Caenorhabditis elegans: one gene and its partners. The protein of the gene in region 3 interacts with the protein of the main gene of each other region in a pairwise test. Each region holds a gene or a part of one and is shown on either strand. Other genes may lie near its edges.

Region 1 (7,478 bases), on a different chromosome or scaffold from region 3:
AAATTTATTTGATTTAGTTACATTACAGTATAATTGATTATTTTATTCAAAGATTGTGGTAATAAATATTAATGAAATTCTAATTGTTTAATGAAATTGCACATTTTAAGCAACAATCGGAACTGTTTCCCTGTATGACGTCACTATCAATCCCTTCAATGCGGCATTTTTCCTGATTATTGCTGCCTTGGCACCGAGCTGTACAACGCACTATTGCTATTATTATCAACAGGTGATTTTAAAAAACGTGATACAATTTGTGACAAGATCTTTTAATCTTTTATGTTGCAGGCAATGCGTATCAAATTGAGAGCAAAAAAAGTTGACAGAATGAACGAGATGCTGAGAAAGTGTTTCTTTCCGTGCATTGCGGTAGGGTTTTGAACATTATGATAACAAATTTTAATTGAAAAATTAAACTGAGGAGGGGGATAGCAAATAGTTATGGGACTCGAGCTTTTCGCAAACAACTGGATTCTCTGAAACTGATTGTCTCCACAGTTACTCCTGCATTCCAAAAAAAAAATGTTCCTTCTTTCTAGAAGAATTCATAGCTTTTCCCATTTTTAGAGCCAATACGATTTACACCCCATAAATATGTCTTGAGGTTTTCTGAAAATTAGTCTCAATCATGATAAGAAATTTCTTAAACAATTGTTGAAAATGTTTAAATCCACAAAAATTGTTTAAATTATTATAATTATTTTTAAGAAAAATCGAACTTTCTGTCAGCCCCGCACATAACACATAGTAGAGACACATCGTAATAAATGAACTTTGCTGAAATCTGCAAAAATAACTAGTCATAAATTGCTCGCACATGTGCTACAACATCAGCAGCTGAGCAAGTGATTCTATATGCAGGATTCGATTCCAGGAACTAGACATGTGAAAATTACGATTACCAGAACTGATAAATCATGTCTGCTGAACTTAGTGACTTGGTTAGCCAAAGTGTGATGTTTCACTGTGAATGTTACATCACTGAAACACAAATTTGATGGAACTTATTGAAAACTGTTAACACGTAAAAAAACAGAAAAGTAGCAACAAGTTCACCAATCTCTTCATAATTTTTCAAGTCCTAAAAATTGTAATTTTTGCAGAGTGTCATATGCTCTATTGCGGTCTTCGTGCCGACTATGTTCTGCCATATAAACATCTTCGAATCAGTGGCTTTCACCAACAACGTGTTTTGTCTGTTGGGTATTGTCATCGCATTCTTCGTGCAAGTCATGCTCAACATGCTCCCCGACATGTTCACGGGTACCCATTGGTTTTGTTCCCCTCAATCTTAATTAATTTCTTCCTTAGTGTTTCATTGTAAACTTTTATTCCAAAAAATATCTGTAAGCTAAATGTCACCACATCTCATTTTCAACCATTCCTGTCACTTTTTTATCGACATTCTACGGTTTCTAGACCTTAATCTTTTCCAAATTGTGCCAAAACTTTGTTCTCTTCGGCGAAGAAGGGAAATTTTGTGGTATTTGTTTCGCATGTATTGTATTTGTTCGGATAATTTCAGTTATTAAATAAATTTTGTTTGAATTATAAAAAGCGTAACTGAATCATTTATTGTAGAAGTAACTGTGAAACTTATGCAGTTAACAACTTTTGACGTTTTTTTTTTTAACAATTGTCAATTCTTAGCAAACCCTGTTAATTTTAGGAATTGACAAAATGTCCATCTGCCAAAAATGTCTTATTGCCGCGCACCCTGGGAAAGATGCTAAAGTTTTTGATTCTCCCCGAACAATTCGGTCCTCATAAAACGTAAATTTTATATAATTTCTCAGAAGGCTTTTTTTCTTGAAAATAAGAACAACTGCAAAACTTGATAAATCTGTATCACAACATATTCGTCATATTTCATTGACAAACTCCCAGCGATCTTCGATATTCCTCCTTGAAGGTTCAATGTTGAGTTGTTCAGTGAACTGTCCTCGTTCTCTCAAGTGTGTTTTGAATTGAAACAACTATTTTTCCGTTGGCTTACGATGCGATTCTCGCATTTGATATTTTGAACCAATCATATCATCAAGTCATTTGATGACACGTGTGATGATATGCCTCGCATATTGTTTTACGAAATGGCCTCAGAGAACACACATTATAAAGAAAGAAAAGTGGAATAGAGCGGTTTTTTTTGGATACGTGATGAAATATGATTTGACTACAACAAAACGTTAGAGCACTGTACCGTGTACTTTTTGAGTTGATATCATGTTTTAGAGCATGCTTGTTTAGAATTGCAGGAGCAAAGTGCAATAAACGACCTATTTCAAAACAGCAAACCTATTCCAAAGATTTTTGGCTTTCAATGTAGTGCTATGTGTATTCAGATTTTTTTAGATCTACCAGGGGTGTGCGGCAAAAATGAAAATTTGCCGAGCTCTTTTTTCTAGTATATGCCAAACTCGGCAAATTCGGCAAATTTGCCGGAAAAGCTCGAAAAAATGTGATAATTTTTGATATTGTATGGGGCACCAAAAATGGTGAATTCTAAGCATACTTTTGATTTTTTCACAAGATCCGTGTGGTCTATCTGCGTACAAGTCTTGCTTACATGTTACTTAACTAGAAGTTTTGGAGCAAAATCAATGGTTCCGGTCAAATTATGTTAGTCGAATTTGTGATGTGTGTGGCAAATTTCAAAGTTTACCGATCTCGGCAGATTTGGCAAACCCACTTTTTGGAAATTTCTCTTGCTGGGCAATTTCGGCAAATTTGTCGCAGATCTCTGTTATGTATAATGGAAAATAGTTACTCTAATTTGTAAGTGGTAAAAAGCATTGTTTTCATCATTTCAATTCTATAAAAATGACCACTACTAAAATCCAAATCTTTTCCCCATGCAAAAGTCCAGAGGAATAGACATAAATATTTTTTCTGTAAAAATCCTTAAAGTATACGACTACTGACGCGTATATTGACCATTAAATAAAGTTGACAAGAAAAGTAACAACCTGTTTACTTTGCAGCAAAGAACTACGGTAGCTGAAAGACTTTCTATTGGGTGCCTTTATAAATTTTAATTTTTTGCAATGTGTTTTACTGGTGTTGAAAAAATGTTGATATAAATATTTATTATCAGTATTTATTATCGGCATTATCAATAAATAAGATATCATAACTGGAACAAATCAGTGAGTAAAAAAAACTGAAATAATATATTGTCAGATCAAGCAGGCAATTCTTAAAGTACACGTGAAACCCATGTATGTCCGGAGAAACCGAATGGATGTTTGGAATGTCCGAAGAAGGGTTCATGACGACCGAGTAAATGAGATCAAAAAATATTAGAGAATTCGAAGGGTGGGGGTATCTAAGAAATAAAAAAGCCTTTTTGAAGGTTTTTAGATTTTCACTGCCATTTGTTGATCAACCGGAGAAAATGCACAAGGATAAAAGCCAGAAGGTGGAGTACCAGGTGCAGAATCCAAAAGCGATGGGCTCACGCTTTGAAAGCTTCCGAGTAAAGCCAAGATGGCATCATTGTTAAGAGCAATAAGCCCATCTAATTGAGCTGGGTTTGTGGATTGAGCAATTATACTGAAAATACTTAATTGTTAAAATCAGATTCGGAACAATTTATTTGTTTACTTACTTTGCTTGTTGTGGGTATTGAGACAGCTGTGCAATGTTTTGCATCTGTGGGATAATTGGCATGGTGAGCTGCATTTGGCTTGAGCTAACAGCAAGAGCTGGAAGCCGAGAGGAAGATGGAGAACCGGAAGACTCGCGTTCGAGCACTGAAAATTAGAAATTGAGCTCATGAATCCACTAGATATCCATGTAACTTACGCCTTTCCTCAAGAAGCTCGTTTTTCCTTGTGAGATCTTCAATGGCTTTTCCTTGACTACTGAGCTTAGTTTGCATGACATGGATGAACTCAACTGCTCGTTTCAGGATCAGGGCTCGCGACGATTTCTCCCCATCAAGCAGTGGAATGGCATCCTTAAGAATGGTGAAGTGATCTTTGATATGGTCACGTCTTCTGCGTTCAAGTTCGTTGTGATGTGCACGACGGTCATCATCCATGGATGGAGAAGCCGACTTCGGGCTTGAAGAATCGTCCTGGAAAAAGAACAATTAGTAAAATAAGGGTACAACAGAAGTTTAACTTACATCGGAAGAATCCGAGTGATGGCGTTTGCGGAATTGTTTTTCCATTTTCATGGATGAAGAAAGCAAGTACATGTCTTCAACGATTGCGGACATGGTAGAGATGTTGACTGTAAATTTAATATATATAGCAATGAAATATCAATTTTAAGAGAAGGTTATATAAGAATACTGTAAGTGAAAATTATCACAAACAAAAACAAATACACAATTAAACAAAAAATATGTAAAAGAGCCATGCGACCATCTTCGAGGGTGTCGTTAACTGTGGTATGATCTGCAATGCGAGAAGGAAGATATAGGAAAAGGGGCGTTCTGTCTGACAGAAAGGGAGGAGTCGACGCGCCGCCTCCAACACGCGGTCAGCGTGTGTTCTTTGCACCTCAGCCACTGTGGGTGCTAGGGTGCCCGGAGAAGTGGCGCTCTTTGATATAAGCTCTGTAGCTCCGCCCATGTTTTGGAGCAGAAGGTTATAGCCTTCCCCCATTTTGTCAACCGATCACTGAAATCATGTGAATCTTGCGGGGATCTCGTAAGGGTAGCATGCGTTTGTGGGAAGGATCAAGATGAAGCATTCCTTGAGAGGGTACAAGGAACAAATGTTTTGGAAGAAATTCTGAGGATGTCAGCAAAGAAGCAATTTGATTGGGAGAAGCACAAATATGGCAACACGGGGATGTCAAAAAGTGCAAACACTCAAAGAATGCGTAGCTCAATTTTAATTTCGATGGTGACGGTCGGGTGCAACGCATCCTCTCATTCACATGCGCCTTCACGTGCCGTGTTCATTTCTTGACGACAAAAAATACCCGAAACTTTGTTTCCTTGGCTGCCTTGACTTAGTGTGCGTGCATCGTGATGTGTGCAACGCACAAAGACCTCTGATAACATTGAGTGAGCTCAAAATGTAGGTCAAATTACTTCCGAATGATGTATGGTGGTGTCAACAGTACCGTACACCTCTAGGAGTGAACAGACTCAGGCAAAAAACTTTGCAAACAAACAACTTGGTGTACTATGACCCCAAACTTGTTAGTTACTTTTGTTTTTTTTTCTTTCAGCAGTGTGTGGCCTAGGGGACTGTAGCTAAACGTTGTAAACAAATTAAACATGTGTTGTTGTTTTACAGAAAAAAATTTGAGTCAAAAGGCAAACTTCCTCTAAAATAAAAATGTATTAACGGCCAACATATATTCGAATTCCTTGTAGTCGTTGACTTTCAACCAAAAATAAATTCGTTCCTACAAAAAATCGCAGATTATCATACTAAGAAAGAAGAACATCAAAATATATGTTTCACTACAATTATAACAACAGATCATTTCAAATTTTCGCCCTACATAACGCTACATAACTCTGTAAGACTTGGAGTAATGTCAGATTCAATTCTTTAATAACTAAATTTTTAAAACTTTTTTGCAGTTTTAAAATCTCTTTTTTCACTGTCAATAGTCATGGTGGTGGTATGATAATTTTTTCCACATTTTCTAGCACATAGGTCTACTGAAAATGTATTTCATTTCTCTGGAATGATATTTTTAGACATCGAACGTTTGGGTTTTTCAGTTTAATTGCTCTATCACGTAGGTCATGCGACGCTCACTTAATGAACCCTGAATTGATTTTGATTTTAGACGACTGCGATAGAAATGTGATCGTACTTTGGGCTAACGTAGGGGGTGAATATGATTTCGCGCCAAGAACGATCAGATTTCACAATTCGGATGTTGTACAGTATCTACAGAATTTAGTGATATGGACTTTGATTGGAAATTTCAATAATATTATAGTTCAAATGAACTAGGGTCATTTGCACAAAGCGAGGGTGGGTGTCTTGCTCGTGCAAAAAATTAAAAGAAAAAAGCACGCTGACGATAAGCTTTACAAAATCCTTTGCTAATCTGTTGAAAATCACAACTATATATCAATAATCCGAAAAACAGCGTGGTGGCGGCTTGTTCGATCAAGTGTGTTATCTAAACGTTAACCACTAATCTCTCTGGATCAACTCAGATTTCTTCGAGGGAGTAGCTCTGGAAAGATAAAACCGCCGTGCTGTACATTACCAGGAATTTGGGAAAAAGATTTCAAATAGAGCTGGGTTTTCTTTTAGAAATCCTTGTTTTTCTTTGTTTTTTTTTCTTGAATCGAGAGAATGAATCAAATCTAAAATGAATGTAATCGGGTAAACACGGAATAAAAAATACAAAAGTTTAATATTTGAATATACCTTGGATTAACCACATTTAGGTTTCGTGAAACCGGCATTTAACCGCTACAATCAAGCAAAACCATTGCTAATTATGCATTGTACCACAAGTTAATCAAATACACATATGGATACTCTTAGTTTTGCCACCATTTGCAATTTCAGTACTGCTACTCTAGATACAGATATTTTATGGCAAAGCTCGTGAATGATTATAAATATTTTATTTTATAGTGCGGATGAATCAATCTTGACTGGATTTTTGAATTGTGTCTAAACCATGTGATTCTAATTGTTTCAATGCAATCTGAAAACTTATTTATTAAAGGCTATGAATCAAAGATTTGTTTTTTCGCCAAACTTTAGAGCGCAAAGAAATTGCATTTTTATACCAATTAAGTTAATATATTAATCTATTTGAAAGTGGTTTTCTAAGCTTTTCTTAATTTTTAAGCCAACTTATCCCCTATTTGGCAGTCATCTGATTGCTTGGAATTTACACTAATCCACACCCTCAACAGATTAAATGAGGGTGGATGTAAAATTCATTCTCTTTCAATTTCGATCCCAACGTGATCAAAGAGCATATATTGGTCCAGTTGTTTCGTTGATCCCCGAATACACCTTGACTTGCTACGTCGATTCTACTACTTTCCTGCTTCTGATCAGTGCACATTAGTGAAAATAGAGTATCTTTTAAGAAACGTACAGTTGACATTTCTCCGCATGATCAACACTTCACGTGCGGTACGCGTGTTCATCGAAAAATCACAAAACACTCAGCAATGAACCCAATTGAAAGAGGAGAGTGAATTGAAAGGAAGAGATGAAACTCGTATAACTAATTCGAGTGAACAGAGAACAATTCGCGATCGGTCCTCCTCGTTGCGACGTGAGTAAGTGTGACTACATTGTGTATCAACGCGGTAGTGGCAAATAGAAAGAGCGCGCCTATATCGTAGTCGCTCAAGAGACTGACGGGGTCAAAATGATTTGCACCTGTGGGGAAGCATGACTGATTATTAATATTATGAGAAATTATCTTTTAAAATGTCTATGTCAAAAAGAAAGTGCATGAAATTCAATCTTAGCTTTAAAAATTGTGTATAATATGCTAACACAATGTGGAAAAACACGGTT
Region 2 (9,373 bases), on a different chromosome or scaffold from region 3:
AAAATTAGCTTCAGCACCGGGGAAAATCAATTTTATTGTGAGTTTTTTGGAGTTTCCTATGTTTTACAAAGTATTGTCAATTTTCAGAAAAACGGATCCGAGGAGATGAAGGATGGCATAAAGATTTTTGACGCAAATTTCGACCTGACTTGGACGAATTTCGGTTTGTGAATTTAACGGTTCTAGTGAAATTCGTTTCAAAAAGTCAATCTTCATGTTGTCCACGTGGAGAACACGGATAAATATTCTTAAGAGCTGGTTAGCACTTCCTAGGGAATGTAATCTACCGCAGAGCGAACGTTCTGGAAAGGGGGCAAGCAATTTAGGGTTATGTCCTGAAATTCAATGTCAATTGTTTGTGCACACCTCCTACAGAGAAAATATTTTTTCTTCCGCGATAGCCAAAATTCAAAGAATCTTTTCCGCGGGTGAGCTTCGCGGTAAGTGTCCTGCTTTTTTGGTGACTACAAGAAATCTTCGATGGCGCCACCCACGCTTTTGTGAAATCTCAAGCCTCGCCCGCTTATTGGCCTCGCACGTCTTTTTACTTTATTTTCTATTTCCAGGAAATCAATTCGATTTCGACAAGATGTGCTCCCCCACTGCAATTGCTCATTCTTTAGCAATTGAGCCATGGAGCCGTGGACTCTTCGATAAAATGCGAGCATCCCATCAGTCACACTATGAACAATTTGGAACGATTTCTGGAGATTTTCGAATTGGAAATCACACTGCTTCTGGAATTCGAATGACGAGCATGAGAGATCACACGATTGCTGGATACCGCAGATGGTCAGACATTCGAAGGTAAAGTGGAACTTGTTTGCATCGTAGATTGACTAAATTTCCAGATATATCATGATGATTTACCATTTGGAAGATGGTACATGTGTTCATACTTCGGTTATTTCAATGCCAGAAACTGTTTTTAGTCACCTTGAATTTGGATATATTGTTACACCGTGGGTTGATGCATCTACGCTCCAAGAAAACACATAAAATGGCTCAACAGGGCGCATTTGAATTTTTCTGCGAGAGACACCACACATTCACAGCGTTTTGAAACCGTGGAATTCAATTCACGGAATATGTCAAAAAGTGACAATTACTCAGTTTTTCCACTTATAATTTTCGAAGTCACCCCAAAAAATTGTTTTTTTATCACATTTTTTAATACTTTAATTTTGTTTTAACTATTCGTATTAACACATTGTAGGGGTATGCAACATTGCTTTAGATTTTCTCAATAGCTCCTATTTTTCAATATTTTGGCAATTTGCGAAAGCTTACGAAAAATATAAACATTTTTGGAGTGTTTTATTATGATTTTTCGTCGTTTTGGATCATTATAAGTGTCCTTTAAGTCGTTTCGAGACCGAGTACCGTATTCTCGCAAAAGATTCTAGTAATTTCCTTAATGGGCAGAACCTAAATTTTTTTTTTCAGAACTGGTGAGACGAAGCCAGTGGATCGTGTACACTTCTCCCTTCCAAACCACGGAGAGGATCGTCATTTCCCTGATGATTTCCACTACTCGTTCGAAGTTGACGGCAAGATTCATCACGCAGATGTTCATATCAAGGAAGCCGTCTCATTCAAAATGGGATTGGATCAAGCATGTCAGGTCACCGAAGGAATGAGCGAATTCGTTGTCGACGGAAAGCCGGGATGGGGATTCGCGGAAGTCGAGTATCGTATTCAGCCGTATTAAAAAATTATCAAATTCAGATTTTCTACCTTTTCCACTTACTTTATAAAACCGTTTCATATGCTACTAACAAATGTGGGGTCAACGTGCAGAACAGAGCAACAGTAAAATGTACAAAAAATAATAAAACACTGGGAGGGGATAACAAGTTCCGAAGAACTAAAAACATGAGACAACAAAACATTTAGAACGAGAAAACAAAAACAAAAGAACAGAGATTGTAGCAGCTACGTAGCAGAAGTTGAAGCCCTTTTGTCAACCTCATCCAGTAGATAGTTCACCGTTTCTTGGACACTTTTGTCAATTGGAGTCTGTAAAACCAAATATTTCAAGTTTTCAAATTGTTCAGTTCTCTTACCCGAACAATATACTTTGTGCACGATTTGAAGCGAAGATATAGTCCCTTGCGAGGAGACTGCACCTCCAGAGGCTTCTCCTTTCTCGGGCGGCCTCTTTTGCGAACAAGGCTTGCCGTCGTGTCCTTCTTCGGCTGAACTTGCTCTATTTCGGGCTGCTTCTTCTTCATCACCGGAATCACTGCAGTCCTGGGAAGCGAGTAGGGAGTTTTGAGAGTTGGTGGACGAAGAATCCTCGGAGTTGTGATATTTGACCAGCGGAGAACGGTATTCTTGGGTGGTGGTTGATCTTGCAGATTTTGGGAAGACGTGGATGCTGTTGTGAAGTTTGTGAGTGGATGATGTCTTTTCTCATCTTCATCATTCTTCTTTTTCTCCACTGCAGTTTCTACTGGTTGCGTAGTGGGTGGTCTTCCAACCGGTCTTGCTGCTGAGGAAGAAGGACCATCAGAACCTTCCCTATTACGAGCCATCGATGCCTGATTAACTGAGTAGAACTGAGTGAGTACATGTGGAGCTCGCATGGTCTGCCCACAAAACTTCTCGGATCCGAAAGAAGACTTCAGGGAGGTCAGTTCGTTTCTCTGAAAAAAGTTAGATTAAATCTTCTTTGTTCTTTGAAACTTACCGAAACACCAACACGATCAGCACACTTTGGAATGATAGACATATTGGCAATCTCAATACATCTACGAACCGTCGCACTGCAAAATCCGGTCATCTGAGCCGACACCTCGTCCGGTTTCTGCCAAACAGTTCCAGCAGCTCGATCGCCGAGTCGTTTCGCGTATTCTCGATTCCAAATTGCTGTTCTAGCTACCATGACGCGTGTCTGATCGCAAAGATGAGCACGGATGGCAATAACGGTAGAATCGTCGACGAATCGGAAGGAGCTCATATCCACAGGCTTTTGAATTTCGGCGCAACGATAACATCTTCCATTGACTCCTTTGACGAAGGCGGGGGCCTGAATTTTGAAAATTGTTCGTTGTAGGTCTCGCCACAAATAATTTGATTTTGTAAAGTACTAGCCAGTGGCAAAATTTTAGGAAGAACTACGGTCGCACCACGAACAATTATCTCCAATCATCCCGGCGCAAAAATGTAAGCGCCTTTTAGAACTACAGTAACCCTTCTCCTCTTCTTTTCAATGTCGCTGAACTTTCTTATTTTTCGCCAAGATTTTTTTAATTTATTGAGAGAAACTGGAGTTGGGTTACTGTAGTTCTTCAAAAAATTTACCATTTTGTGCAACCATTAGATGAAAATATTTTTTGCTTATGATGAAAACAGGGAATGAAATAATATAATTATTGGATGAAAAACACTAGTAATTGCTGAAAAGTTTTTTTGTTAATGATAATGCAGGAAAATTCGAAATATTGAAGTTCCACTTTAGGGTTTTCCAAAAATATATAATTTACCGCCATATTCGAGTAGAACGTCATAGGAGTTTTATGATTATATGCAGGAATTTGGACACTTTTTGGAGCCACGGTACTGTTTTTGGCTTTTGGACGGAAGTTATTCGCTTGTCTGATCACGGCGTTTTTCGTCATCTCCAGAGCTACTTTTTTACGTTCCATTATCGATTTGGAGAGTGGAAGGATTGGAATTGCGCTCGCCGAAATTTTGGTTCGTAGAAGCTGTGATGGATTGATTTCCTCCAATCTGGAAAATTTGCTTTTTAGCAGGACTTATTAAACAAATTGTCATTATTTTGGAAGTCAAGGTTTTCAAAAACCCGAAATTCAACTTACTCAATTCGTTTTCCGACTCTTTCCGTATGTTCACTTCCAAGCGTTGCGTCTTCCTCGAGAATTTTCCCTTCACTTGGTTCGCTTACAGACTCCCGAGTACTTCCACTTTGTCGCTCGAGAATTGGCGGCGGTGTGACAGCTCGCTGGTACCGAGATCGCAGAAATTCCTCCTCATCAGAATCATAACTGTTTCGGAAGATATCTGAAGAGAAAATGAGCTTTAAAAAATCAAATTTTCATGGAAAATACCTCTTTTGGTTCGATTCGACTCAAATCTGGATATCAGAGATCGCTGTGGTGGAAGATCTGGTGGGCGTGTAGGGTCGGCCATAATTTTAATTCTGAAGACGGGTGATTGTTTTGTTTAATAAAAAACTTTTTAAAAACTAACGCTTCCTCCTCTTCGTCGAATCCAACAACGTCCACATCCTCATCAGAGTCTGTAAGCACTATTGGCTTAGATACAACAGGATTCGGATTTTTTGGAGAATTTTGTGCCTTTTCGAGTGTTACTTGTTGGTTATTAACAACTAACGGGGACTTCGACTTGTCTGTATTCTGAGAACGAATGACGTAGACTTCTGAAAACAATATTTTTATTTAACAGAGGACCATTTGCAAACAAACTTCTTCGTGGCAAATTTGGATCCGTAGCTTTTTTAACTGGCTTTGGTGGAGGTGGGAGACAGGAATCTCCGAATGAAGCCCATCCAATATGAGCTTTAGGTTCATAATTACTAGAAGATGCCGGTGGTGAATCAGTTTCGTCGTCGTCGTCGACTATCAGAAGATCATCGACGCTCAACGTTTTCTGGGATGTGGAAGGTTCATCATCTTTAGCAGTTTGCGGTTTTGGATCAACTTTTGGAAACTTGACCGCTGCTCGTTCTTCTTCATTCATAAAAGCAAATGACATTGGGGATATTGGTGGAAAAGCTGCGGGTGCAGGCTCTGTCGTCATGGAATTGTCTAGATTGGCAACAATGGGTTCAGAAGACATCCTGGAAACAAAAAATATGGAGATAAAATTTTTAAATTTAAATTTAAACTGTTTTTATTTACCAGAAAACTAGAAAATCCCAATGAGAAAGAAGGGAAATTAATAGAAAAATAAAGTTTTAAAAATACCTAAATTTTCTACAGTACCCGAGGTCTCGCGAAGATTTTGGTCCGCAGTACGCAAACACTCTTATGCTTGTTTACCGTAACCACTGAAATATTTTTTCGTTGTTTTTCTTTATTTAAAAAAAGTTATCTATTTTTCGAAATTTATTGAAAATTTCACATTTCAAAACCGTCAATAATTCTTTTAAAATTCATTTTTCGCAATATGGATTTTCTTCAAATGTTAAACCAGAGTTTTCTTGTAATTCCTTGAACAAATCACATTTTTAAATCACATAACCATTTTCGTTTCTGGAAATCTTCACTTTGAAGTTGAATTCTTGTTAGATTATATTTGTTTAACTCTGAAAAATAGTTAAAATGTGTGTTTTTATATGTTTTGTTTCAGATTTCCCCTGCTTTGTTTTCCTTTCCTAGACTAAGTTTTTAAATTTCGATCAATCCTTTTTCTTCATTTTACCCTCTCAAAACCATTTATTTACTCACTTGAGAGACGCAGAGAAACCATCGATGGCCTAGATGTCTCGTCTCGCCTCCTTCTCGGCCACGCGCGCCTATCTATCGATGTTTTTCTGCCTGTTCGCTCCGTTTTCTTTTTCGAATCTTGACCGCTTCGCATGCCTGTTCCGTTGCGGTTTCTGAAGCGTTTCGGTTGCGTCGCGGTTCCCGGCTCCGCCCTACTACCCGTTCGAGTCTCCCACGGTCTGTAGCACGTCTATCACCTATGTGAATGAGTGTGTACGATCATCTTCTTGCCAATCGGGTTATTGGGTTCAATGGATCGTAGATTGATATGAAACTCGAATTCGGGAAGGAATCGCCACGCAACGCAGCTAGAAATGCTTGAGAAACTTGCGAGAATTTGAGAAGAAAATAAATTTCAGAATTATTATTAAAAATTTCCAATGAGCGACCGACGGCGGCACGGAACAGAGGATTATCAAATCGCCGGTCTCAAGCATTCAATGACAAGTAAATCGATATTCATAGATTCAGAATTTCCAATAATTTTTCCAGGTGTCGCCTCAAGCTCCCACGGTGGTGCTGGAGACCTCCAACAACAATTTTCCAGGGAAGATCCACCCGTAAAAACTACGCAATACACACTTGTAAGCTGGAAAACGTTTAAAATTCAAAATTTTCAAATTTTCAGCTTCAACTAATCAATATGGTTCGAGAAAATCCGATTCTCTACGATGAGGAGATGCAAGCCGCCACGCCGGATGCTCAGTTGAAGGTTCAGAAACGAGAAGCATGGGATCGGATACGTGCTGATATAGTTTGGCAGGACATCACTCTTGTTCAGGAAGTCTGGTCGGATCTTCTCGATCAATATGCTAGAAAATCGATTGATATGTCCGATGGACTAATTGAGGCAATGCGATGGACAGATTCATTGATTTTTAAGAAGAAATGTAAGAGTTTCTTGCAAAGAAATACACCAAAATCATTTATATTTTCAGCAGACTCTCGACCTCCTTCACAGCTCACCGCAATGTCCTCCGGACTGGATAAGGATTTCTATAATGACGTTCCGCTGGCAGAAGATGTATTAGAACCCGGACAAAGTCTCGGAAATTCTGAATCCATGAAGTTCGATTATGTGGTTATTCAGCCTCATGTTAGGCCACATCAACAAATTCCCACATCTTCATATTCCCGTCGAAAATCACCACAATCAAGAGAAACAGAGGCAATTGTTCGAACTTATCCATTATCGCCGAAGCGGATAGTGGTAAGTGCAAAAACGATGAAGTAATTACTACTCAGACCCTAATTTTTCCGATTTTTGCTGACTATGAGATAACCGGTCTCGTCACAACAATTTTTGTTAAATACGACAAGATGCGCGCCTTTAAGGAATACTGTAATTCCAAACTTTTGTTGCTACGGAATTTTCATCGATTTTCATAGCTTTTCAACAAAAATTTGAAATTACAGTACTCTTTAAAGACGCACACTTTATTGTATTTAACAAAAATTAGTCATGTCGAGACCTGGTACCGTATGTTTGGCGCAAAAATCGCAAATTTCACGTCTGGGTAATAGCAAAGGCAAGCATTCAAAAACCCCTTACCGGCCTCGCTTGCGGTGATGCACGGGTGGCCTACTGGCTAACACTCTCGTCTGCAAAGCAACAGTCCACAAGTTCGACCCCGCTTCATGGTGCATTACACTTTGTAACTTGCATTGTGTGCGCGACTAATGAAGCAATACCAATATCTGCAGTATCTGCTCATTCGCCGTGTTGTAGTTGATGAGCTCGTAGTCCGATAACAATTTTTTGATTTTTTTTCATTCCAGCAACAGCATCGTATGCCACAGAAGAATAATCCAGACCAACAACATCAAATGAATGAAGTCAAAAAGGAAGTTAATCCGTTTGGACGACAAGGTGTATTGGTGGAGGTGGAACCATCACCCTCCTATGCTCAATCGAATACGAAAATTTACAAAATGGTCTCCGCGCATAGAAGTGCAACGCCGCAACCTGCAGTTACAGTGGCTTCATCTAGAAGATTGGTACATATGGTAGGAAAAAATAATTTATTTAAATAAGAATTAAATTTTCAGCCTCACCGAACAAACTCCCTGGTTTATGATTCGATGCCAGAACTTATAGATTCGTGAGTTTTTTTTTTACTTCTTAAACTTCACTTAATAAAACATTTCAGTTCAAATATGCCATCGGAACCACCAAAAAAGAAAATACACTTGGAAGTGGGTCATCGAAATAGTGAAATGGTCGGTGTATCAACCTCATCAAATGCCCCGTGTCTACCCAAAGAAATTCTAACCGATGGAGTCCCAATTGCCGACGATGAGATTATTTTAGAAGCTGATGGAGAGTGTAAAATAGGTTCTGGAATGCTTCTGGAATCTCAACAATCAAGTTCACAAAATCATGAAATGGATATGCCATCAACTTCAATGGATCATTATCATCATCAAGATATTGGTAATTTTTCGCTGGAAAAATATGAATATTGAATGAATTTTCAGATGATGGGGGTGTTGGAGATGATATTGAGCAGCAAGTGGTGGTTGGAGGACCTTCTGATGAAATGGCGATACAATATGATGAAGATCTCGCATTTCAACAACATATCAATAGTGTCTTGAACAGGTTATCTGATGATGAGGTAATTTTTGGTTTTTAACAAAATTTACGCGGAAGAGTTTTAAAAATTCGATTTTTCATTAATAAATTGGAGTTTTATACAAAAATTCGAATTTGGATATAAAAAATTTTTTATAGGAAGAAATGTCATTTGCTTACAAAATTTAAATTTTGAGAAAAAACATTGAAAATTGTGGACAAAAATCGAATTTCTCAGAAAAAAGTGAAATTTTCCAAAAAGAAAAAAATACAAGCAAACTTGAAATAATCCTGGATTCAAGTCTTGAGTTACACAGGAAAAATTGTTTTAAAAAATGAGCTAAAACAAAAAAAATCAAATTATGTTCAATATTTGTAATAAATCAGCCTAAAAATCATTGAAGTTCCCATTGAAAAATCACCAGGCAAACTTCAACATCAATATTTAACTTTCGAAATATTAAAAAAATCTATTTTCAGAAATCCGTGATGAAATTCAACATGCAAAAAATTATACTCGACGCAAGATTTGGCTTAGGCACAGCCCGAAATATGCTTAAACACGATGAGATGCTGGAGGTAGAGTCACACGTGGAAATTGATCCGAATCACGAAGTTCCTGAAGAGATTTAGACATTAATTTGACGTACAATGCTTCTGTAATATTTAATTTGTTTTTTTCTTTTTTTCTGAAAAAAATCCATCCTTCTCCCGAAATCAATCATATCAGTGAACATAACGTATTCTTTTTTCTCTTTTCTCCTTTTCTCTCAAAAATATTTATTTTATTTTTTTCGAATATTGTCATTTGTCATAATTTTCAGATGAAATCAATAACATTTTTAATTTTAACAGGAATTGAAACCTTTTTAAATATGGATTTGTCGTCCTTGTGAATATTTATTTTCTTCTAATTTGAATTTTTCAGAATTAATATATAGATTTTTTTTGAATCTGCCTCAAAATAATGGCTTTTAAACCTAAAACCCAACAAAAAATCATTTTTAAATTAAAAACGGGCTGGCAGTGAATCTTTTTTCAATAAAAACTAAATTTAACAGAATGAAAGAAACCTAATTATCAGGAAAATTTTGGAATTTATGAGAGCAAGTTTGAAAAAGGATGAAACAAATTTGCCAATAAGTTTTGCATGTTATAAATATTATTAATTTTGCAGTGGGTCAATGCCACAATCGGAGAATTCAAAAGATGCCGAAAAAGAGAAGGTGATGCGTTCACGACGTGGTACTGTCGATACAGAGATCAGCGGAGCACTCACAGTTCTTCAGAGCTCATTGGACGTTGACGATGCTCCGTATCGAGC
Region 3 (7,854 bases):
TTTAGAAAGTGTTTAATTTTAGTATAATTTTAAGCTGTAATTAAAACAATTACTTTTAGCCATTATTTTTTTAAATGTAAATTTTCAGTCTTAAAATATTATGATTTTTTTTGAAATACGACTAAAATTTTCCGATTTATTAGGCTTCTGAATTTACGAGTTTCCCACCTTTTACGAGTTTCCCACCAGTTTCCTACTTACTAAGTAAGTAAGTAAGTAAGTATATTAGTTAAGTTTCAAAAATACACGTATTTTCATTTTTGTTTAAACAAATTTCTGGAATGAAAAAAAATAATTTTTGAATTCAAAGATGTTCTATCAAAAAAATATTGGTTCAAAATGTTTGAATTAATTCAATTTTTAAAACAAAAAAAATCGAAAAAAAGGCGATTTCATAAAAATCAAAAGTAAATAGACTCTGCTTCTTCTCGTCATATCAAAAACTGCCAAAAAATCAATAAACTGGCTCCTACCCATGACCAAACTACACAAAGCAAACAAGGGTCCTTTAAGGGGGTACCTACAGGTATCATATAACATAGATATGCATATGATCTTGGAAAAATGCGGAGCCAACTCTCCTGAAAATATGCTTGAAACAAGCCAACACCTTTTTGATGAGAAGCCTCTCCGCCCGCCCTTTGTGCTCCACACTGTGTTCCCTTATCAAACCGTGCCTTTGTGTTTACAATTTGTGAGAAACTTTTGAAACTTTTTTTGCCGCCTTACTTGGGCAAATAGAGGAAATAATTCGATTTGATTTCACAATTTTCCTGTTATCAAACTGTGGTCTGGGGATGTGAGTCAATTATTGAACGGTGCAAAAATCACAAAACGGTCACAAATTGCTCGTTATTTTTTTCGTGATTTGCTAATTTCAAAAGTGGCACAGAAAGTTCTATTATCAAATTATTTTCAGTTTTTCTCGATAAAAAAACAACTTGTGTTCCGTATAGGCCTAGTTGTCAGCCTGCAAGCCGGCCTTCGTCTGACGCAACTTTCAGATAGGCGCCAATACAAGATCGTATATGTTTTAAAAGTTTCATGAAAAATATTCATTACTGCAAAAGGTTCAAAATACATTGCCTACCAACCTACCTACCAACCTGAAATTCCAAAGCAGGCACCGGCAGGAAAGTAGGCTGGTTGAAAAGCTGGTAACTGGTAGAAAAATAACAGATTTTCGGAAATATTTCTTACATTTCTTATTTTTATTAATTCTTAAAATATAAATATTTTTTGAAAATTTAAAAATAAGTCAAAAATAAATATTTTGAGCATCCGTCTATCTTTTTTATACCTAATTTTAAAACCGTGACAATAATGTCAATTTGTCCGGAAAAAATTGACATTTTCCAAAATTTTGATAGGAAAAAACCCGCATTTTGTGTGAAAAATTCCATAATCAACAATTTTCGATAAGGATACATAGAGAAGAAGGGAAATTTTATAACACCAAAAAACAAATTTGCAGAACCTGAGCATTTGGCGTGCTAGCCTAAGATTGCCTACTGCCACCACACCCTGAAGGCGCGTAGGTAGGCAGGCACGCAGGCATGATGTCGTGGCGAGCACCGAACAATAAAAAACCAAAGTAAATCCAATTAAAGTTACTCAAACGTAATTTATTTTATACTACCTGACTTCCTCACGTCATCTCAAAAATCACAAGCTCTATGTGATTCTCAAAACCGGCATTCCATTTTTCTTTTACGAAGACGATACTAAAAACATTTTTTATTGATAAAGCTGATAAGAAACTTATGAAATCACTAGTACCGGCTCGAGTCGTTAACAAGAACATTTTCTCGGGTGACTCAGGATTCAGGTTGGGCACTGAAACATTGATAAGCAATAGAATTTGATATGACGTCTCGAGGGCACGATCGTGACATGACTTCTTTCTTTATTTGTGATTTGTGAAGACAACGAGAACTTCTAGGAAGCAGCCGACACTTTACAGTTCGCTTTTTATAAGAGATTTTTTGAAGAGATACAAAAAAACAGGTCATGTTAACCGAAACAAAATTTCTAATTTTTTAAAGATTTATTTTAAATTTTTCAAAAATTGAAAAAAATCTGATTGTGAGATTTCACTGGTAAATGAATTTTTCGGCCATTTTTTTCAAATTTTCAACCATTGTCATTAAAGGAAACTTGACAGGCCGAAAGGAATTGGGTGAAACTCTAAAACTGGCCTGAACTTAACATTAATTTTTTTGCTGTAAAATGCATGCAAATTTGACAGATCACGTCTCAAATAAAAAATCAAAAAAAGTGAAACTGCTCAATTTAGCCGGAAAGCTTATTTTTGGAATAGCAAAATTTGAAAAAAAATTACAAAAAATTCTACAAAATATATATTTGAATTTTAACATTTAGTTTTTTTTTAATATATGGGATTGCTTCCTGACGTTTTATGCAAAAAAGGCCGTGAAATTTCTAAATCCAAGCTTAATTCCAGATATGGTGGCTGAAAATTCGGAAAATTCTCTGTAAAAACCGTGACTTTATAATTCAATTTCTAGTCGAGTCATAAATTGATAAGAGTACAATTTTATTAATTTATCACTTTTGCAGAATCAAAAAAAAGTTTTTGGAAATATAAAACACAAAAACATCAAAATATTATTATCATCATGTTTGAACTGAAAACCCGCACAGCTTAAAATTTCGATGGGGTTTTTACTCTTTTTGAGGTGCAACTGGGAAGGAACTAGAGTTTTACAGGGAAAAGACAATAAATCACAGATTGGAAATTGTTTTTTTTTTTGAAAAATTAAAAAGAAAAATCAATCGGTTTCAGCGCAGCTAATTGCAGCGCTAAGCTCACGGATATTCTGAAAATTTTGAAAGTTCTGGAACAACATTTGCATTCCGATAGGGGTCATCAGGAGAGGATTCGGGAAAAGAGTTGGAGCAGCTCCGTACATAAGCGGAGCCGTGAAAAATGGTGAGGCCGCGGTGGACATGAGAGAGGGTACGGTAAGAAATGAAAGCGGTAGGCTTGATGGAGCAAGTTGTGGAAGAGCAATTGGTGAATGCGGAAGGAGAAGCGGCATTGGAGATGTTGTCTGAAAAAAATTTAATTTAGAAATTTTAGAAATTCTGGAAAAAACCTTTTAGAGCAGTTTTTAGGACGAGACTAGTGCATGCCTACATGCCTACATACCTACATGCCTACATGCCTACATGCCTACATGCCTACATGCCTACATGCCTACATGCCTACATGCCTACAGGTTTACATACATACATGCCTACATGCCTACATGCCTACATGCCCACATGCCTTTTCAGGTTCAAGCTGTACCTGAAAAAATTTTCAGAAAATCTGAACCTCACCTCAAATGGAGAACCAGCCGGACTAGTGCTTGCATTTGCCGAAGTCGCTGCAGGAATCATAAATCCCCCGGCACTGAAGTCGAATTTCATCTGAACCTGCGGAGCCATGTTCAACTTCTCTGATAGCATTCCAGATAGCGAGCAATCCGAGGATGAAGCCGACTCGTCCGAATTGCAGCCCGAAGAAGATGAGAGTGACGATGATGAAGCCGTGGTGGAGCCCTCTTTTTTGGGACTTTTCGGTGCGATAGCTTCAACCGTGTTGCCCTTTATGCTCATTTTTCGCTTCTTAATATGCCGGTCCAGGGCACGACGGGAATCAATCAAGTTACACTGTTGGCATTCGCAGCTGGAATATTGGCACTCCTTTTTGTGATTTTTCTTCCAGACGAGCACATTGTGATTCTTGCATTTTTGGCAGAAATAGCACATGTTCATGTTCTCCATGACAGCTTTTTCATCTGCCTCCCCACCTGTGAAGCCTGGGAACACGTTGGCCTCGCTGATATCATTGGTACGCTGAAACACGGGGATAGTTAGGAAAATTAGGAAAAAAATCACAAGGTACCTGGAACTTCTTGTCTTGCTCTCGTCGGAGACGAATCTGAGTTGACATGATCTCCCGTCGCTTACGGACCAAGTCACACTGCTCACACTCGCAACTTCTATATTCGCAGGTGTGCCCGCGCGTCTCTACGAAAACTCCATGCTGCTTGCACATTCCACAGTGCCGTTTCACATCTGAAAATTTAACAAAAAATAAAACTATGTTAGGCGTAGGCCATACTAATTTCTGAAAAAAAATCAGCAGCCGACAGTTAACCAACCATACATTTTTCTACTGACCCTTTCTCGTGAAACCAATTAACTGTCGGCTGCTAAGAAGCTATAGCTCACCTTTCGGGATCCTTTTCCCTTGGCTGAAAAATCTCTGTGCTCCAACATCCGGGGAGAGGCTGTTGTTTGGTGAAAGCCCTTCTGGAGCACTGAGCGATGAGGCATTTGAAGAAGATGACAGGGAAGATGAGGACATGATCAGGTAAGTCTGAAATTTTCCATTTTTCAAGAGTTGGAAAAGTTGAAGCACAAAATGAAATTGTGAGGGCTACAAGATAAGGGATGCTTGAGCTTGATGACCTGATTGGCTGAAATTTTATAGACACTGCGTCAATGGAATATTTACAGTACTTTCAGTCACTTGTCTGAAAAAAAATCTTGTGACATGTTTTACTAGTCGCCTGATAAGGCCCTGGGGGCTATATAGACGATGCTTTCAGAGAAATTTTCAGGGAAAGCATAAGCAAAACAGGAAGTTGTAGAGGCTTGGGCGCGTGACCGAAGTTTTTCTAGTTTTCTTCGGCCACCAAAAATTTCCCTTATCTACAGTAACCTAGCTCCCCTTGGAGCAAAAAAGCTATCGAAATGAATTCACAAATGAAATGGAATCGAAATAAATAAATAAAATTTCATCCGCCTTTCCCATCTTCAATCCAGGAATGAAAGATTTTCTGTATCTGCCGGCTCCGCCTCTTTCTTGAATATCCCTGATTGCTGTCTAACCATGTCTAACGTCTCCGCCATCCCTCCCCACTCATTCGAGAAAATTCGCCGTAAACATTCTATTTTGGCTCTGCGGAGCTATGACGGAATTCTCATGTCGATGGGGGAAATTACGTAGATTCGCAGTTTGCGTAGATAAGGAGGGGCAATCCGGTCGGGGTTTTACGCGGATCAGTATGGAGCAACTGAGCAGTTGGACTAAAAGCCGATTTATTTCATTTTGTTCACAAAAAGGTGGTGCTCATCTCGTTTTGAAAACACTCGAATTTTTTAAAACTTGAAAAACTTGCTGGCCGACGCCTATGACATATGCCTATGACCTCCACCTATGGCCAACGCCTATGGCCTACGCCTACTGCCTACGCCTATGACCCACGCCTACTGCCTACGCCTATGACCTACACTTATGGCTAATGGCCTACGCCTATGGTCTACGCCTACGAAACCTTGGAAAATTCAAAGTTGAGCAAGCTGAAAATCATTGCAAAATGTTTCATAACAACCACAAAAAAACACTAAAACTAAAAAGATTTTCAGAAGTTTCAACAAATCGGATGACAAATTGTGTCGAAAATCAATCGCTCAGAGTGGTTTCAAATTTTGTGTGGAAAATATAAGAAAATCTGTAGCGGATTTTGACGATTGCTAATCTTTTTCTCGCATTGCTTAGCCCTTGTGTTTGAATTATTAGGCGATTTAAATCCATTTCTGTGATTGCCTTTATCATGCTTTTTTTGTTTTGAATGATTTTTTTTCTTTTTCTAAATAATGGAATAATTTTTTAAAATGTTTTTTCTAAACAATGAAATTCGATCTAAATTTGAAAAGGAGCCTGGCAAGCAAGCCCGAAAGCCTCGTTCACCGACTCCAATGCACCAAATTTTACACGCAAGGTTAAAAAAAAATTCTGTACCGTCCTCGATCACTGTCGGCTGCACAAAAAAAACATTTTTTCCAGTAAAAAAAATGTTTAAAAAAACTATACTAAAACATGTAGGAACTAGTTGTTTTATACTAGTTTATGCTCATTTGGGAAATGCTCATTTCTGATCGACAAGTTTTGTTTTTTTGCCACCGTCTAGACGCTCTACCGTAATCTTTGAAGAATTCTTGCTCCCACCGGGGAAATCTATATTTTGTCACGTGGAATAGGGGTAATAGGAAAACATAGAATGCAACAAGATTTCTTGGAGGTAGGTAGAAAGCCTGAAAAAAATCAACCCATAAGAAAAATTCTTGGAAAAAATTAATGAAGTTACATTTTTTTATTTTCCAAAAAAAACCTGCACTCCTAAAAATAACCATACCTAGTGACATTGGTTTTGACACCAATAACGTCAAAATTCAATCTGCTTATCATTTTTGATAGCTCCAAGCCACGTTGTTCGAAAGTACCTGGATAAGCACCGGCTTGACTCGGTCAAGTCAAATTTTTGCGTCACTGGATAAGATGGTTCAAAATGCGATGCTGGCCAATGCTATTCATAAAAATTTCAAAAGTTTTGAGAGATCACTGGTTTTCCTGAGTTTTCATGTAGAAGATGCAGTCGGGCCAGCTAAGAAATTGTTAAAAACCACTCCTATTGTGTAAAATGACAAAATACCAAAATAAAAATTTTCAAAACAATTTTAAAAAAATTTATGGACAGTCAAAAAAAGCAATTATTGAGTTTTGCCCCATATATTTGACTCATAAGTAGACTAAAAAAGCTCGAAGAAATTTATTTTTACTTTTAAAATTTGATTTTCGAAAAAGTGGCAAAAATTGTGATATTGCCAGTTTTCAAAAAAACAACTCTATATTTAATTTTTTTTAACATTTAAAAACATACATATTGTTTTTAGAAATTTTTTCTAACTTTAGACTTATATGTATTATATGTACACGTTTCTGATCGCTTGTCCAAAATTGTTCTAGACACCGCGAGACACTACTGGTCCCCCGTGATTTGGGTACGTTTCACAAAACATGATTGTCTGGAGGGTTACTGACATGATTCCTGTTTTGACAAACATTTTTGAAAAAAATCAATTTTTGGTGGTTTTTATTCAAATTTGAAAGTAAAAAAACACTAAAGTTATGAGAAATTTAGTTTTTATAAAAATGAAACATTTTAAGTTCAAATAATTTTTTTTCGGAAAAAAAGTTGAAACCCCCTAATTTAAAAAATTTTATTCAAAAAAATTAAAACTTTTAATTTGAATTTTTGCAAGATTTTTTAAAATAAAATTTTGAGTTTCCTTAAAAAATCAAACTTGTCGTTCAATTTCAAAATTTGTGCAATTTTTTCCGCCAATTTTTTTTTCTGAAATATTAAATGCTGATTTTCTCGAAAAAATAGCCACGGGAATTTAATTTCTGAATTTTTTGTAAAAAGTTTAATTCCTTACTAAAGTTGTTTTAAAAATTTAAATTTAATTTTCCTGTCGAAATTTTGAAAAATTAGAATTTGAATGGTCTCGCAGCGAACTCTCGAAAAATTTAATAGTGAGGCAAAATTGAACATGGGCATACTGATTAATAACAAAAATCAAAAGCCCAAATTTCACCTGCCAAAATTATATTTATTTTTTGGGTTTCCACAGTTTTAAGAAAAAAAATGTGTGTAGTATGATGGTATTGAGAATTTTATATATCTGTCAAAACAATATATATATCAACAAAAAAAGAACCACAGAACTAGAAATGAATCGAAATAAATAAATATTCGAATTCTCAAAAATATTATGTTTCCATCATTTATCTGGAGGCTAATCCGTACTTCTGTGGCGTTTTCTGACGTTTTTCGAATTTTTCTGACGTAATTTTTAGCTCAGCAACCAGTAAACTTCTAAAATGTTCAGTTACAAAGATAATCCTTAGAGGTCTTGACTCAATCTGTTTGCCCCATGTCGTCCCTCAACAGCCCTTACGGTTATGAATACTGCGGCCGACACCTTGCGGGTCAC
Region 4 (7,394 bases), on a different chromosome or scaffold from region 3:
TAGAGACTCACTTCATAATCAAGCGAAATTCATCTGGGCAGCCAGCAAGGAATTGGCCCATGATCGGTTGGAAGCGGGAATTCTTCTTCATCGCACCAATCTCGCCAATCTCATTTACATTTTTCCAGGGAAGAGCTGCATTGGTGAAATCGACGAGCATGTAGAACCTAGAAAAACACATTTTCTCAAATAAAAACTATTATTCTTATTTTCAATTCTAAGTGATAACCCAATCTGGCCTTCTGGCATCTTTACAGAATATATCACATAAATGACTAGTTCTTAAATTGATTAAACTAGCCAGCTTTCCAAATCGTCCTTCAGTCCATGTTCCGCCGTATTATGTGATGCAAGCGGTGCATATCGAGGGCTTCCACGAAATGGCACAGTTTTTCTTGGCTCGAGCATCAAATTTTCGCGATCTACATACTTTCGGCAACATCCGAATCTAAGAACAAAAATGTTGCGAAGCTCGCCTTGGCTTGCTCTTCCGAGATAGAAGTTGCCAGGGTTCACATCTCTGTCCAAGAACCCACTCCAATGCAAATCTTCCAATGCTTCCAAGCATTGAAACGATGCCCCAATCGCAGAGCCCAAATGTCAAATGACCATCAGGCCCAGTCTTTATAGCATCTTGCAGGGATTTCCCAAGAAGCTTCATGACAATATAGTTAAAGTTGTCATGGCGTCCCTTGTCTGAAAGATGGGGTTACGGTTACCTACAAAAGTGTACTACATACCAATGAGAGTAGGCATGTGGCTGGGCGACTTCTCAGATACCTTTGTCATCACACAAAGCTCAATTCTCAGCGACTAAAAATAACATTTTCTGCTTAATGGTTCGACAGTATTAACTCACATATATCTCCTTGGTATTCAACTGAGCCTTCAAAACATGCTCCTCTCCAGCATCATCTCGCACAGCATACACTGCTCCGAATTCACCATCTTCAAGTTTCTTGAAAACCTTGTAACGACGAACTCTATAGTCAATACTTAGCTGAATAACGGGAGCCTCCGTCATCTCGTGACGAGAATAGATTTGAAAATAAATTATTTATGGATTTTCGGAAAATATTGATCTTGTCGTTGACGAACTTTTTTAAACACAACGTTATCACATCTTTGAAGTCCACGTTCAAAAAAAGTTTTTCTTGTTTTTTTCTGCAATAAAATTAACTTCATAAACTAGAAAAGGAGATTTTCAAAAATCCGGACTGTTGATTCAAAATTATTTCAAATTGTTTTTATTCTGATATATATATATATATATATAATATAAATTAACACAATTCTAATATCCCCTTTACATTCTCAACCAAAATTTCCTATAAAAAGGGGAAACTCACGCCCATAACATGGCCAAATAATTGTTTGTCCATCTACGGGTCTCGCAGCGAAAATCAAAGTTTATTCGGTGTTTTTTATTTATCTTTTTTTTTTGGGAAATTATGAAACTAATTTTTGTTAAAATGATTGCAATTTCCAAAAAAATCAAAATTTCAAATTAAAAAGCTCGAAAAAATAGTTTAAAACTGAACTCCCACTACAAACTGCCCAGCGGAATTTGGAGTCTCGTTTGGCCACGCCCACTCGGTTCCTTGAACTTTAAGTTAATTCAACTTTCTACAGAACATTTTTAGATTTTTTTTCAATTTTGTATTCAAAAATTACACTCAAAAACAAGAGAATTCTATAAAATTGTGAAAAATGAAAAAAAAAAATTCAAACAAACAATTTTTGTCAACTTTTTCAGAAAATTACATAGTTGTCAACTAGCAAATTATAGAGACATTCTAATTATTTTTTCCGAGCTCTAAATACAAAAAGTTACGCAATTTAAAGTTAGAACTAAAGATTTGTTTTTGAACATTTTCAAAAAAACACATCCCCTTTACATTCTCAACCAAAATTTTCTATAAAAAGGGGAAAGCCACGCCCATAAAATGGCAAAATAATTTGTTGTCCATCTACGGGTCTCGCAGCGAAAATCAAAGTTTTTTCGGTTTTATTTATTTATCTTTTTTTGGGAAATTTAGAAACTAATTTTTAAAATGATTGCAATTTCCGAAAAAATTAAATTTTCAAATGATTTAGTAGGGAAGATTATTAATTTTTCAAAAAACCTCAAAAATGACATCCTGTCCCAGCTTCACTGAATATCGGATGTTTCCGGATGATGTCGACAATCTGCTGACCGGCTTCATTTAAGAAAACATCGAAAAGCTTTAATTTTAGAACTTCCCCGTATGGAAAAGTTTATCGCCACTTTTTCAATTTTCCCTATGTGTTTTTTTTCCAGAATGGGACATCCCACAAAACTTTGACGTAAGTTTAAATTTTTTGAATTTTCTGAAGAGCGCACCATTGAATATTCTCTAATACAATACTCAGGTGTAGGTCAATAGGTTTGGTATGTGGCAAGAATGAACAAATTAATGTTGAAATGTGAAAACAAAATTTCAATTTATTAGAATTTGGCTTATCATAAGTATAATACATTTTCAATATATTGGCATTAGATAAACATTCAAAAAGTTTGGTGACATAATGAAACAATGACAAGTTGATATTGTGAATGTGGCATAATTTGAGATTACGGGGATGTGAAAAATATAATGAAAGAAAACCAGGAAAGTTTTGACAGCCTTAGAATAGAGTATAATAAGTTTTTTTTCAGAAATTGTAAATTTGCAGGAGATCGATAGACTAGTTAATTATATCGAGGGTTTCTTCATTTTCTTCCTCGTCACTAGTTTCTGGTGTTAAGATTTGAAGTGATGGAAGAATGAATCGGAGGGGAGCAGAAAATATTGATGGAACGGTGTTGTAGTTTGACAAGACATTGAACTGAGTAGTTGGGATCATTGGAATACATGGAAATGTGAGCAATGGAGAAGTAGATGTTGGGGATTCTTGAACTTCTTGAAACGTCAATCTTGGGAAGAGATCCTTCACTTCCATTCGTGTTTTTGGCTTTTCATTCTCTTTGTTCTCACAAGTAGCAGTTGATTTTCCAGCTAAAAGAGGAAGTATTTGGGGAATTGTTTCTGGATACAGAAGATCGGAATTGTGTTTAATGTAATCAATGATGATTTCTAGAATTGTGATCCGTTCAAGTTTTAATCTGAAAATAATTTTTTGAATTTTTATTAGCCATAATGAAACTCTTACCGTTGCTCGTAACTTCCCATTTGTTTGTTCAAAATGAAGAATTTCAATTCAGCATAACAGTCATCTTGTTTCTTTCTTCGAATCTTTTCACGTTCAGTCTTCACTTTTCTTCTTTCGGATTCAGTATCAAACTTCCGTCTTGTAGATTCGGAGAGGTCATTCGATGAGAAATTAGATTCCAGATTAACTCCAGTCACAAGTTTCACAATTCGGAAGAGAACTACTTCTTGTCTAAAAAATGAATTAGTTTAATAACTATTTTAAGCTAACAGAGTATTTAAACTTACGATATATGTTCTTCTTCTGATTTTTGAACAATCGTCTTGCATTCGTTAATCAACTCGTTTGTAATATTTCTTCTTTTCCGTTCAGAAGCTGATTTTGGAGTTTGATTGTATGGGACGGAACGATAATCGCTCATTGAAGACTGAATAACTTTTGGCATCTGAAATTTAATAATTTTCATTAATTTAAAATCAATAAGAAATGTAGAATTTATAAAAATTCAAGATGAGCCGTTAAAAAGGAATAATTGTGACAAAACAGATAAATGGGACCAAGAAAGCAGCACAAATTGATTTAGTTTAGTGAGATAACTCGTACTGTTTTTCTAGAAGTATACAGTTCACTGAATGCTTTAAAAGTAATTGATCAAAATCAGTACACTTTCCTGATGTTACAATTATCAAAAAGTATACTAAACCAGCAGACCAGTGATCCACTAAGAAAGTAAATGAACAATGAATAAATGGTTACCTTTTATAGTTCCATTATTGTTCAGAGGGTGGAGCTTTGTATCAAGCGTTTGGAGCCATGGGAATTATTCTGAAATCTCTATTTTTACAGTCCCCATCACGGGTTCCCATGGTTCATCAGTGAGGTTCTCATGAGAACGAGTCAGGACATCTCCAGTTTTGCCACGACTGGATATTGATTGGGTACAGCCTGGGAAATTTCGGCGGAGACTGTGAATTGACATTAACCATTTTTATCACTCATTTAATCAGCTTGCCTAATCATTATTTGTCTTTAATTCGCAAAGTTTCCAATATTCAAGATCTGATTCTAATAAAAATTACCAGATTGATGTATATGATAATGCATAGAACATACAACTACCAAATTTTACGGATTCATTCAGTTTATCACTCAAATATGGCAGTTTTTCATTTTCTGAAAATAATAAGCCAGTTTAATTTTAACATATAACCTTACTGATTTTGAGAACTCCGGTTTGCTGGAAATGCTCACACAGCAACAGAAAAAATTCACACCGGATACATGTAGGTGCCAAGTTATAAGAAAAGTGTCACACGCTGAGATGGAAACCTCGTAAATTAAAAATAAATTGAGATTTTTTTAAACTTGGATATTGTTTTTTAAAACATTTCTAGAACAGCTTGATATAAATATTTTAAACTATCATGTAAAGGAAAAATACTATAACCTAATTCATGTATTTGATTATTTGAGTTAATTAATATGCATTTTTATTTTAAATATTCTAAATTCTTCTTTTGTATTATATATTTACATTTTTAAATTCCATCGAGCTCCGATTTTACCAAATATTCATTTCAGGATTATTTTTTCCCACCAATCAATAACTTCGTTCAGGTTGTGACCCTTCGCATTGCTTGGGTTCTCAGGCTGCCACGGCAAGAACTGGAGATGTGGTACTCGATGCACCATGAGAACCACGCGTAATAAAGGTATGGATATCAGATTCCCATGATATTCCAAACGATGAGAATCCCCGCCTATTGAAGAAAAAACTCGAACATATAATGGAAGGTAGTCATTATGTTTTTGCATACTTGAACTGTAAGGTTGGTTCTTTTCAACGTTTTCATAAGTCTTTAATTTGAACTGCCTTTCATATTTTGTAGTCTCCCTATTACGGTTTTTGTCTAATAATCTTTTGTTAACTATTATTATTATATTTCAGATCCTTGACTCATAATGTCTTCCTCTCCAACTTCGTCATCATCTGGGTCCCCTTCTTCACATGGACATCGATCTGAAACAGAAAAACAAAGAAGAGATGATACTAATGATCTGTTGAATGAATTCAAGAAAATCGTTCAAAAATCGGAATCTGAAAAACTTTCGTAAGTTTTCTACTATTTTATTTAAAAAAAAAAAACGTACTCTCAACTAATGTCTATTCAGAAAAGAAGAGGTTCTATTTCGTATTGTGAAATTGTTATCTGGTATTCAACTTCATCACGAATCGTTTTCAACATCGCCTGGACCAATTAGAAGTATTAAAAAGATTAAAAGCGATCGGGAACAAGTTCGCCGAAATAAGAGAGTTGCCGCGTACAGAGAGCTCAGAAAATTTATTGCATTGAATAATTTGAGTAGCTCAGAAGAAATGTAGGTTTTAGATTTTATTGGCCATAAATTAAAAAACACGTATTTTTCAGAGACAAAATGGAGAATTTGAAGGTTCTAGAAATCATCTTTGAAGTGATTCGTGGAAAGTCGATCACATGTACAGTACCTTGCCTACCATTTCCAATACTTCCTTTTCTCCCAGTATTCCCAGTTTATTCGCCATTAGTTTTCAATTCATACAATCAATTTTCACTTTATCCTCCTCACATGCCTACAGTTCAGATTCCTATTGTCCCAAGTTCCAGCTTCGAAATTGACGCTCTGGAAATAGAAGAAAATGAGAAAGATATCGATATTGTTGGCTGAAGAGATTCAGCTGAAAATCGTATTGGTCTCCAATTTTTTTCAACAGTTTTCAACATTATTTAGACATCTTTTGCATCCCGATTCATTGAAAATTAATAAATTTAAAAAAGTAACATCAAGATAATAAATTCAAGTTTAACACACAGCAATATTGAGATTTTCAGCACAGTGTGCATGATAATTTGAACAGATGCGTAGCAATTGGAGAAAAATTATAGAACTGAATTGCGTTCTTACCAGGACTGTGCGGCAACCGAGATTTAAAGAAATTTCGGCAACCGGCAATTGCCAAAGTTGCCGAACGCTGAAAACTTCGGCAGCCAGCAACTTCCGGTTGCCGGAACTTCGGAAACTTTTCGGCAACCAGGTTTCAAAGTTTTTTTTGTCGAAATTAAATTTTTGAGCGTTTTGGAAAAATGTATGGTCGTTTTTTTCGTTTACAGTGAAATTCTAGCTTTTTCAGGCTCTCTGCATGTTTTTTTTTGAGTTACAAAATGTTTGACGTTGATATGGACAGTTGCCAAAGTGCCGAAAAAAGTTCGGCAACCGGCAACTTGGTTTACGAACCCTGAAAAATAAAGAAACTGTGAAAGAAAATTCAAAAAATGTCAGCACAACTATTAAAAATAAACACTTGGAACACGTGTTCAATTTCTTTGAATTGAAAATATAAAAACCATTTAATAAGAAAAATTAGTTTTTCAAGAGAGCTCGACCAACAACAATGGGACGCAAAAAGCGGCTGAAGGTCGAGCGAAAGGCAGTTGCAGAGGTGAGTGAAACATTGTATTTATAATTTTACAGGACTAAATTTCTCATAAAAACTATTATTAAAAGTGTATCTCTTCCTTATCTGATTTTTCGCAGAACCAATCACAAATCTTGACTATGGTGACTATTTCTGAAACGGAAATGGAGAAGGTAATTATTTGATTTTTTTTACATTTGATTCTGAAATCTTGTTCAGGAAAAGACGTATACAGCACTGCAAAAACTGAAATCAGTTTCTAATGATTTGTTCGAAGAATGTCAAAGGGTTTTCGCAAATACTAGCTTTTGCACGGTAAGCGGTAAGCTGCAAAACGTTTTTCAACTTTCAAATGTTACAGGCGGAACTGGAGAATATTGTTGGTTGCTTTGACCGTTATGAGAAGGAAATATCTACAATTCCGGACGAATATCGAACGGTTCGTTTGTTTTATGTTTTTCTTGCACGTTTTTTTTCTCTAGAGTGACTTGGTTTTTGCATTAGAATATTTATACATTTCATTTTTACAAAGTATGCATTGGCTGCCGTGAAGGCACCTGGAATGGGTTGCATGAGCTAATCAGTATTTATATTTGTAAAAAAATTAATTGTTAAATATTCAGCATCCCTGTGTAATCAAATTCCAAAATTGCATTAGAGCATTGTGCAACGTTGTCGCAAAAAAGTTGAACAACACAACTCGCGATGTTGAAACTCAGACCAATTTTCAGTCACCAAGGATTACATGGAGACAAAGGTATGACTT

Evidence for each region.
Region 1: the proteins of dmd-8 (region 3) and mxl-3 interact in a two-hybrid assay, tested with the Caenorhabditis elegans proteins (one large-scale study listed by BioGRID).
Region 2: the proteins of dmd-8 (region 3) and xnd-1 interact in a two-hybrid assay, tested with the Caenorhabditis elegans proteins (one large-scale study listed by BioGRID).
Region 4: the proteins of dmd-8 (region 3) and hlh-25 interact in a two-hybrid assay, tested with the Caenorhabditis elegans proteins (one large-scale study listed by BioGRID).

Annotation. Positions count from the first base shown.
Region 1 is NC_003284.9:13,346,566-13,354,043, forward strand, and holds mxl-3 (Protein mxl-3), read right to left. Parts: upstream 4,240-7,478; 5' UTR 4,226-4,239; coding exon 4,133-4,225; intron 4,082-4,132; coding exon 3,808-4,081; intron 3,756-3,807; coding exon 3,611-3,755; intron 3,556-3,610; coding exon 3,360-3,555; 3' UTR 3,074-3,359; downstream 1-3,073. Other genes in the region: ptr-24 (SSD domain-containing protein), read left to right, coding at 111-232, 292-372, 1,107-1,298. UniProt on the Caenorhabditis elegans protein: Transcription factor which regulates the expression of genes involved in lipid metabolism in response to nutrient availability. Binds to the E-box motif 5'-CACGTG-3'.
Region 2 is NC_003281.10:5,599,912-5,609,284, reverse strand, and holds xnd-1 (X chromosome NonDisjunction factor), read right to left. Parts: upstream 4,826-9,373; 5' UTR 4,825-4,825; coding exon 4,452-4,824; intron 4,406-4,451; coding exon 4,216-4,405; intron 4,166-4,215; coding exon 4,074-4,165; intron 4,027-4,073; coding exon 3,825-4,026; intron 3,736-3,824; coding exon 3,489-3,735; intron 3,032-3,488; coding exon 2,693-3,031; intron 2,649-2,692; coding exon 2,067-2,648; intron 2,020-2,066; coding exon 1,936-2,019; 3' UTR 1,729-1,935; downstream 1-1,728. Other genes in the region: C05D2.8 (DUF7064 domain-containing protein), read left to right, coding at 1-37, 88-163, 567-807, 852-962, 1,447-1,711; madf-11 (MADF domain-containing protein), read left to right, coding at 5,855-5,921, 5,967-6,058, 6,103-6,364, 6,413-6,684, 7,254-7,481, 7,524-7,576, 7,625-7,908, 7,953-8,092 and 1 more; wdr-37 (WD repeat-containing protein 37), read left to right, coding at 9,234-9,373.
Region 3 is NC_003283.11:332,061-339,914, forward strand, and holds dmd-8 (DM domain-containing protein), read right to left. Parts: upstream 4,391-7,854; 5' UTR 4,379-4,390; coding exon 4,243-4,378; intron 4,087-4,242; coding exon 3,914-4,086; intron 3,865-3,913; coding exon 3,346-3,864; intron 3,075-3,345; coding exon 2,793-3,074; 3' UTR 2,541-2,792; downstream 1-2,540.
Region 4 is NC_003280.10:5,531,465-5,538,858, reverse strand, and holds hlh-25 (Helix-loop-helix protein 25), read right to left. Parts: upstream 3,621-7,394; 5' UTR 3,620-3,620; coding exon 3,462-3,619; intron 3,406-3,461; coding exon 3,175-3,405; intron 3,128-3,174; coding exon 2,710-3,127; 3' UTR 2,454-2,709; downstream 1-2,453. Other genes in the region: C17C3.11 (Protein kinase domain-containing protein), read right to left, coding at 449-696, 741-813, 860-1,024; hlh-26 (Helix-loop-helix protein 26), read left to right, coding at 5,137-5,285, 5,347-5,553, 5,604-5,880; C17C3.9 (Coiled-coil domain-containing protein), read left to right, coding at 6,605-6,652, 6,748-6,801, 6,848-6,943, 6,990-7,067, 7,252-7,385. UniProt on the Caenorhabditis elegans protein: Probable transcription factor. Modulates lifespan and also recovery from the developmentally arrested larval state known as dauer, perhaps acting upstream of phosphatase PTEN/daf-18.